2 linked regions of the Kluyveromyces lactis genome follow. The protein of the gene in region 1 purifies or fractionates together with the protein of each later gene. This does not show direct contact. Links are inferred from orthologs where the notes say so. Each region holds a gene or a part of one and is shown on either strand. Other genes may lie near its edges.

Region 1 (4,570 bases):
ATTTTAGGGTCTCAAAGACAAGAGCATCACGCACGACTGTATCAGTTGAAAGTAAGCTGTCTGAAAACATCATTGTTTTACTTTTACTTCCACAGGGAAGGCTGGGTTCCCTTTGTAGTATGTAATATTCTTCCGTTGAAGGCGGTAGGGTAACTATATATCAGTTCCTGTGTCACACAGATGTCAGCGATTCTTGGATTTAGATATAAACTGAACATGGCTCCTTCTGTGGATTCGAGACTGTATCATTGAAATACATTTCACTTGTTATAAGTGAACGATTACGTTCGGTGGTCTTTCAAATCCCCCAAAGGTTACAAACAATGACGGAGACTTTAGATCTTAGCAATAGTCGGTGGGTATTCGATCAAAGCCTGTTACAAGGTGATGCGCAACATGCAGAAAAATCTCAGGGTCAAAACTTGCACCATTCTGAAAAATCTGTTAGGGAGTTGGTTATTTCTAAACAACATACTCGTGTTTTCCCTGTGGATAACCAATTAATGGGCCGGATGGAGGATCAATTAGTTCGATGGAAACGACCAGCATCCTCGCATCTTGGCACAGTACAAGTAATCGAGGGCACTCATCCATACCAACAGGAACCTATTTCAATGTCACAAACGTGGTCCCAGATAAGAGATGCATTTTCGACAAGAATGCAGAGAAATAGTATCAATGATACACAAGAGGATGAAGAAGAAGATTTAGATGGGCTTGACTTGGGCAATACCGAAATTTGGAATTACAAAGACAAAGCATTTACTACTGAACGTATTGACACCTACCGTTCCAACATTATCGATGAATACAATGCAACAACGTCAATGACTGCAAAAGCCGTACCCGTAACGTTGAAATTACCAGCAAGAACAGATGATATGACGATAAATAGTCAGTACACGTATCACTACCCAATTCCACAGTACTACCTACCACATTCACAACAACAGCAAAACAACAACAATGTAACAAACTCTAGACAAATGACGCAGGCTTCTCAAGATGCATCCTTCTCTTGCTCCAGTTGGTTATGTTTTACTTGAGTGAGATTCGTATAAAACTGACGCGCGTCAAAAAAAAAGACGAACCATGTGATTAACTTTCATAGACAATGAAACAGTTTAGAAAACTGGAAAAAAACGCAAGATTAAAAAGTTCAAAGGAATTTAGGCTAATATTTATAATCAGTAAGTATCGATCTCAGGCACCTTTAAATACAATTGGTAACAGATGGCGATTAATACTAAAAAGATCAAACGGTTCATATTCTTTCACCTTGTTGTATTTCAATTTTTCATCGTTGACTTTTCAAATTCTGAAAAGTTACCCTGATAGAATTGATAAGGGGCAAACTGTGCTGATAACACTAGTATGAAAAAAGATTGAAATTAAGAATTTGAACTTAAAAGGAAACCATTATATGAATGAGCGCGTGGTTTGAGTATTGAAATAAATCCTGTAGAACAACGTTCATTAACTAGTTCATCGATACTGACCTTAAGATAATAATATCCTCGGAACAATTGACATTGAGATTTGTACCTAACATTACGTGGGTATCTTCCTCTATTATTTTTCTTTCTTTCTTTCTTACAGTTAATAACGTTTTCAATTAAGAGTAATTGATTGATTGGTTGATTAATTAGCTAATTTAAAGAAGTTATTAGGGCGTGCAAGTTTAGAACTACAGATATCAAAAATGGCAGGTGCATTGGAAAACGCACGTAAGGAATTGAAAAGAGTAACCCTTGAAGACCATGAGGAGAGTGAATATGGTGCTATTTACTCTGTTTCTGGTCCTGTGGTGATTGCAGAAAACATGATTGGATGTGCCATGTACGAATTGGTTAAAGTTGGTCATGACAACTTGGTGGGTGAAGTCATTCGTATTGATGGTGAAAAGGCTACAATCCAAGTGTATGAAGAAACTACAGGTGTTACTGTTGGTGACCCTGTTTTAAGAACTGGTAAACCATTATCTGTCGAATTGGGTCCAGGTTTGATGGAGACAATTTATGATGGTATTCAAAGACCATTGAAGGCCATTAAGGATATCTCTCAATCTATCTATATTCCAAGAGGTATTGATGCTCCAGCTTTGAGTAGAACTATCAAATGGCAATTTACTCCTGGCAAGTTCAAAGTAGGCGACCATATCTCAGGTGGTGATATTTTCGGTTCCATTTTCGAAAACTCTCTTTTGGATGACCACAAGATCTTGTTGCCACCAAGAGCAAGAGGTACTGTTACATGGATTGCTTCCGCTGGTGAATACACCGTTGATGAAAAGATTCTAGAATTGGAATTTGACGGTGTCAAATACGATTACTCCATGTATCACACATGGCCAGTGCGTGTTCCAAGACCTGTCACCGAAAAGCTCTCTGCTGACTATCCTTTACTCACCGGTCAAAGAGTCTTGGACTCTTTGTTCCCATGTGTTCAAGGTGGTACCACCTGTATTCCAGGTGCTTTTGGTTGTGGTAAGACTGTTATTTCTCAATCATTGTCTAAGTACTCCAACTCTGATGCAATCATTTACGTTGGTTGTTTCTCTAAGGGCACTGAAGTAATGATGGGTGACGGTAAGGATGAATTGATAGAGAACATTCAGGTAGGCGATGAAGTAATGGGTAGAGATGGACTTCCAAGACAAGTTGTTGGCTTACCAAGAGGTCATGATGACATGTACCAAGTTACCGAAAAATCAGAGGACAATGAAACCGCCAAGATTAGTTTCCAATGTAACAGCTCACACAAGCTAGTTCTTGTCACTCCACAAGATATAAGACTAACAGAGTCTAAGGAAAAGGTTACCGTTGCATTCAACAGATTGGCAGACATTTCAGTGGGAAATGGTACTGAATCACGCACTGTTAGACTAGTTGAAAGAGCTGAAAAATCTTTTGCTAATGCTGAAAGTAATCAAGCTATCATAAATGCTGCTGAATTTGTCACTACTATTGACACGACATCCATTGAATGGACTTTGGAGGCCAGGGATATGTTGTTGGTAGACTCTTCCATCCGTGAAGTAACTCAACAGTTGATAAACCCTGTGTTGTTGGAGAAGGAACACTTAGCAGGCGTCTTAAAATCAAACGATTTCCAATCTTCTTTGGCTCCACAATTTTCGTATCTGTTGGGTGCTTTCGTTGGCTCCTCCGGTAAGGACAACTCAGAATATCTTCAACAACTGTCTGCTCAATTCGATAAAAAGATTGTTGCCGAAAAGTCTATCGATGTGCAATCTAATGGGAAGACCGTTGGCACTGCTAGCATTGTTATTTCTCAAGAGCCAGTTCAAGAAAATAAACGCAGAAAGGTCGCTCAAGTCAGTCTTGTCTCCAAGATCGTTCAAGAATCTTTCTCTAGCGGCATCCCATCGTTCATGATGTCCGAAAACATCAATGTTCGTGAAAGTTTCTTGGCAGGTATTGTAGACTCTCAAAACCAAAAGCTAGATGACACAGTCGCTCTAAAAACACTATCAGTCAAGACACATGACGGTATTGCGAGATTGGCGCGTTCTTTAGGTATCCGCGTTTCCGGTAAGAAACAAAACCAAGAATACACATTGACTCTTTCAGGTGATGCTTTGAAGAGTGTTTCAAATTGGACCTCCACTTCGAACATCGAAAAGGTTGATGTAATTCATAAGGCTCAACCTATCTCTTTCGATTTAGAAAAAATTGAGTCTGCTGATTATTTTGGTGTCACTTTAGCTGAAGAATCAGACCACAAATTCTTACTATCAAACATGACTTTGGTTCACAACTGTGGTGAAAGAGGTAACGAAATGGCTGAAGTTTTGATGGAATTCCCTGAATTATTCACAGAAATTAGTGGTAGAAAGGAACCTATCATGAAACGTACCACATTAGTTGCAAACACTTCTAATATGCCTGTCGCTGCTAGAGAGGCCTCCATTTACACTGGTATTACATTGGCTGAATACTTCAGAGATCAAGGTAAGAACGTTTCTATGATTGCCGATTCGTCTTCTAGATGGGCTGAAGCTTTGAGAGAAATTTCAGGTCGTTTAGGTGAAATGCCTGCTGATCAAGGTTTCCCAGCATACTTGGGTGCTAAGTTGGCCTCCTTTTACGAAAGAGCTGGTAAGGCTGTTGCTTTAGGTTCTCCAGACCGTATTGGTTCCGTTTCTATTGTTGCCGCTGTTTCCCCAGCCGGTGGTGATTTCTCCGATCCTGTTACTACATCAACTCTTGGTATCACTCAAGTGTTTTGGGGTTTGGACAAAAAGTTGGCTCAAAGAAAGCATTTCCCATCCATCAATACTTCTGTTTCTTATTCCAAATATACAAATGTCTTGAACAAATACTACGAAAAGAACTATCCAGAATTCCCAGTGTTGAGAGATCGTATGAAGGAAATCCTTTCGAACGCTGAAGAACTTGAACAAGTTGTCCAATTGGTCGGTAAATCTGCTTTATCCGATGGTGATAAGATTACCTTAGATATTGCTTCTTTGATCAAAGAAGATTTCTTACAACAAAATGGTTACTCTACCTACGATGCATTCTGTCCAATTTGGAAGACTTATGAT
Region 2 (3,080 bases), on another chromosome or scaffold:
ATGAGAGGTTTGCAATTCAGCCCTGCTTTGACTGCCCATGGGAGGTAGATGGAGTAAAGTCTTTCCTTTTGCACTTTCTTTAATCTCAATGGTGCTAATAGAGCACCAAGTGCAGCCATTGGGACACCAATGTTTGATGCCTCAAATGCTTTAACTGCAATCTCACCTTCGATTATGATTGGTAGGTCATTTATTGCATGATAAAAGTCATGGCATTGTCTATATCTCTTAAATATGAAAGCATGGACAGGATCATCGATATAAGTAACTGGTGCCCTTGTGTCTGGAGAGACCCCCTCTTTCATCAACCATTTGTAGTACGTATAGCCAACTGAATTTTTATCCATCTTTGACAATCGTTCCATGTCAAGGCTTTCCGATGTGATGTTTGGTCTGTCTTGTAGAATCCTTCTACCAGTCTTATCTAACAACATTGTCCGTTTTAAACTTTCAAGAAAGCAAGGTAGAGCAGTAGCTTCTCCTAATTGAACGATGTTCTCACCGTTCTCCGGGTGGAAATAAGATTTTAAACCACTGATACCGAAGAGCATCATTCGCTCATACCACCAAAGTGGAACATGACCCTCATAATTAGGTTCTATCGGTCTTGTGTTTCGTAATGCATTTAACCTTTCTTGAGTCCTTTGTTCCATCTTATGCTCATACTCTCCATTTTTATTATGCAGATTCCCTTTCTCCATAGCATCTGCTAGTCTAACATCTTTCCCAATCAATAGGTCTCCAAAAGCTGCTATTGCAGTAAATACGATTGTTCTCTTGCTATTATTCAATGGACTGAAAGCGTTACGACTTGCTTGTAAGGATTTCTTACTTACAGTAAACATTTGCGGTCGTCGTCTGATGCGTTTAATAGCACACTTTCCCTAATAATAAAAAGCTGTGTCCCGGAGTACAACTCGTCAATTGAGTCAAATCTAGAATCTGTGTAAACCTTGATCCTAATCCACGCCAGCAATTTCAATTACAACCACTTTACAATTTTCAATGATCTTCCTTTATCTCTAGTTAAAGTATATGTGGGTGAGTCGCATCAACTTCAAGAAAAGGTTTAAATTTGAAATATTCAGAAGAATCATCATACGAAAAAGGCAAAAGAATAGTAAAAAGGTTGACAAAGGAAAACGCCCATCTTAGCAAGGCTCTTGCTATCTACACGCTAAGGGAGCTTTGCTACATTAATTCTCAATTGCATAAATCCGAGATGACTACGGAATTATATAATGATGGGGCATATAAAAATGCTCCTACATATGAGGAGAGCTCTTTGTTACAACAGACATGGTTGATTAAAGAAATCATAAAGCCTGAGCTACCTAACGTTATGGACCATGTTGAGAAATGCATAAACCAACTATCTAGTCCTGAGAAATTTCGAATGCCTCTTACCAATGGGAATAGTGTCTCCGTTAACACATCAGGTGCCGCGCCAGACAGCACATCGATTAAAGGGACAATCACTAGACAGGCCGGATTTATAGTGGATTTTCAGGCTATCATTAAGCTTCCAGACTTTAGCAGGGGTAAACCAATAGTTCTAAAGATGGACCTTGATAAACAATTTCCCTTAGTTCAAATAAATGCCATAATTACAAATTTATCATCCGTATTGTCCTTATTTGACGAATTACAGCAACTTTCCGAATTACACGATATGAAACTTGATGATATTCATACTTTTCACAATAAAATTGGGAAAATATTGGAGTTACTTACACAATCTATTACATTATTACAAAATCCTCCACGAGAATTGGTCTTTCCGCATAATAACAACAGCTTCTTAAACGACAACTTCTCTGAATCTCATGACATTTGTGAATCAGCACATCATTTGGTCAATATGGAATTAGTGCTATTCAAAAACGAGATTTGCTTGGACATTAGGAATTTGACAAAAGTCATTAAAAAACCCTGGAGTGAGATCGATTCGAAAACTGGGTTATCATTCAGTGATAAAGTCAGAGACAGGCTGAAGCAAGACAGAAATGGAAAAATCGCAGAGATCCTTAAGGAAGAAGGCTTGCAAGTTGAACAAACATCTATGATAAACAATTTGATATCCAGTTTTTCAGCAACTGAAAGAATCACTCTTCCGCAAGCAAGCGATCTATTGGCTAGGTGTGTGACATTTAACGGGCGAGTTGTCACTGAATGCGAGAAAGTTTCAATTACCACCAGCGATCCTACATTGATTAGTGTCAGTGCAAAGTTGAACGGGCTTGAAAACAAAATCAGCAATCACTTTGTAAATATTCAAAATTTAAGTTAACAATGCGATAGATAGAGAGTCGGCGTATGCTTATTTATCTCTCTTCATGCAATTCCTGTATTCTTTGTATCAGTTCTTCTTTACGATTCTTTAAGTCTTTGAGACGTTCCAATTCTTCATGTGTCGAGGATACTATTACAACTGGATCCGATTTCACATTATCTATGATGGGGTTACTTTCTTGATTGTTGAATCGTAGTTTATTCAATTCGAATGTTTGTGATAGAGTGGCCCGCTCCCTTTCCAATTTGGTTAGAGCTTTTTCCAGTTTACTATATAGTTTTTGTAACAATGGTTCTATATCCTCCATCAAATCAAGTCTGGCCCTCTGCACATCATATTCTGATACCAACTGGAATACCCTCTTAGTTTGTAGCATATTTATAGCAAGTTTAGTGCTTCTATCTGTAGTGACCTTAGATACGGTTAAACATTTCGCCATGTCATCGACACATGCTGCTAAAGCATCTACACCCTCCGAAAGTACCTCTTCCATTGTGTCAAATCAGCTCAAATAACAATGCCAAATTATCACAGTGCGTTATCCAATTACAATCCTGCCGATCTATGTGAAGTGTTGTGTTTTCATGTGTATGTTGCGTAATGTTTGTTTACCTCTTTTCTATGTGGTGAATTAAAATAATTGTGATTGAAATTAAGTCCATTCTTTTCTCAGTTTCATGATTTTAGTATTATCTTCACAGAAGTGGTAAAGCAGCTTCAGCAGTATTTGCTACGAGGCAGTCTCTCCATTGAAGTGAATCAGAAGCCGAATAAGAACTTGCACTTT

The links.
Region 2: the proteins of VMA1 (region 1) and RAV2 purify together in Saccharomyces cerevisiae (affinity purification with mass spectrometry; 4 studies listed by BioGRID, with this or other methods). This does not show direct contact. The link is inferred for Kluyveromyces lactis from reciprocal best matches to the Saccharomyces cerevisiae genes VMA1 and RAV2.

What each region holds. Positions count from the first base shown.
Region 1 is NC_006042.1:527,570-532,139, forward strand, and holds the start of VMA1 (H(+)-transporting V1 sector ATPase subunit A), read left to right. Parts: upstream 1-1,702; coding exon 1,703-4,570. Other genes in the region: KLLA0_F05379g (uncharacterized protein), read left to right, coding at 324-1,046. UniProt on the Saccharomyces cerevisiae protein: Catalytic subunit of the V1 complex of vacuolar(H+)-ATPase (V-ATPase), a multisubunit enzyme composed of a peripheral complex (V1) that hydrolyzes ATP and a membrane integral complex (V0) that translocates protons.
Region 2 is NC_006040.1:1,586,099-1,589,178, reverse strand, and holds RAV2 (Rav2p), read left to right. Parts: upstream 1-1,222; coding exon 1,223-2,290; downstream 2,291-3,080. Other genes in the region: ubiquinone biosynthesis protein COQ4, read right to left, coding at 1-845; SPC19 (Spc19p), read right to left, coding at 2,325-2,786. UniProt on the Saccharomyces cerevisiae protein: Component of the RAVE complex, which is required for stable assembly of the vacuolar ATPase complex V-ATPase under many conditions. May be required for transport between the early endosome and the late endosome/prevacuolar compartment (PVC).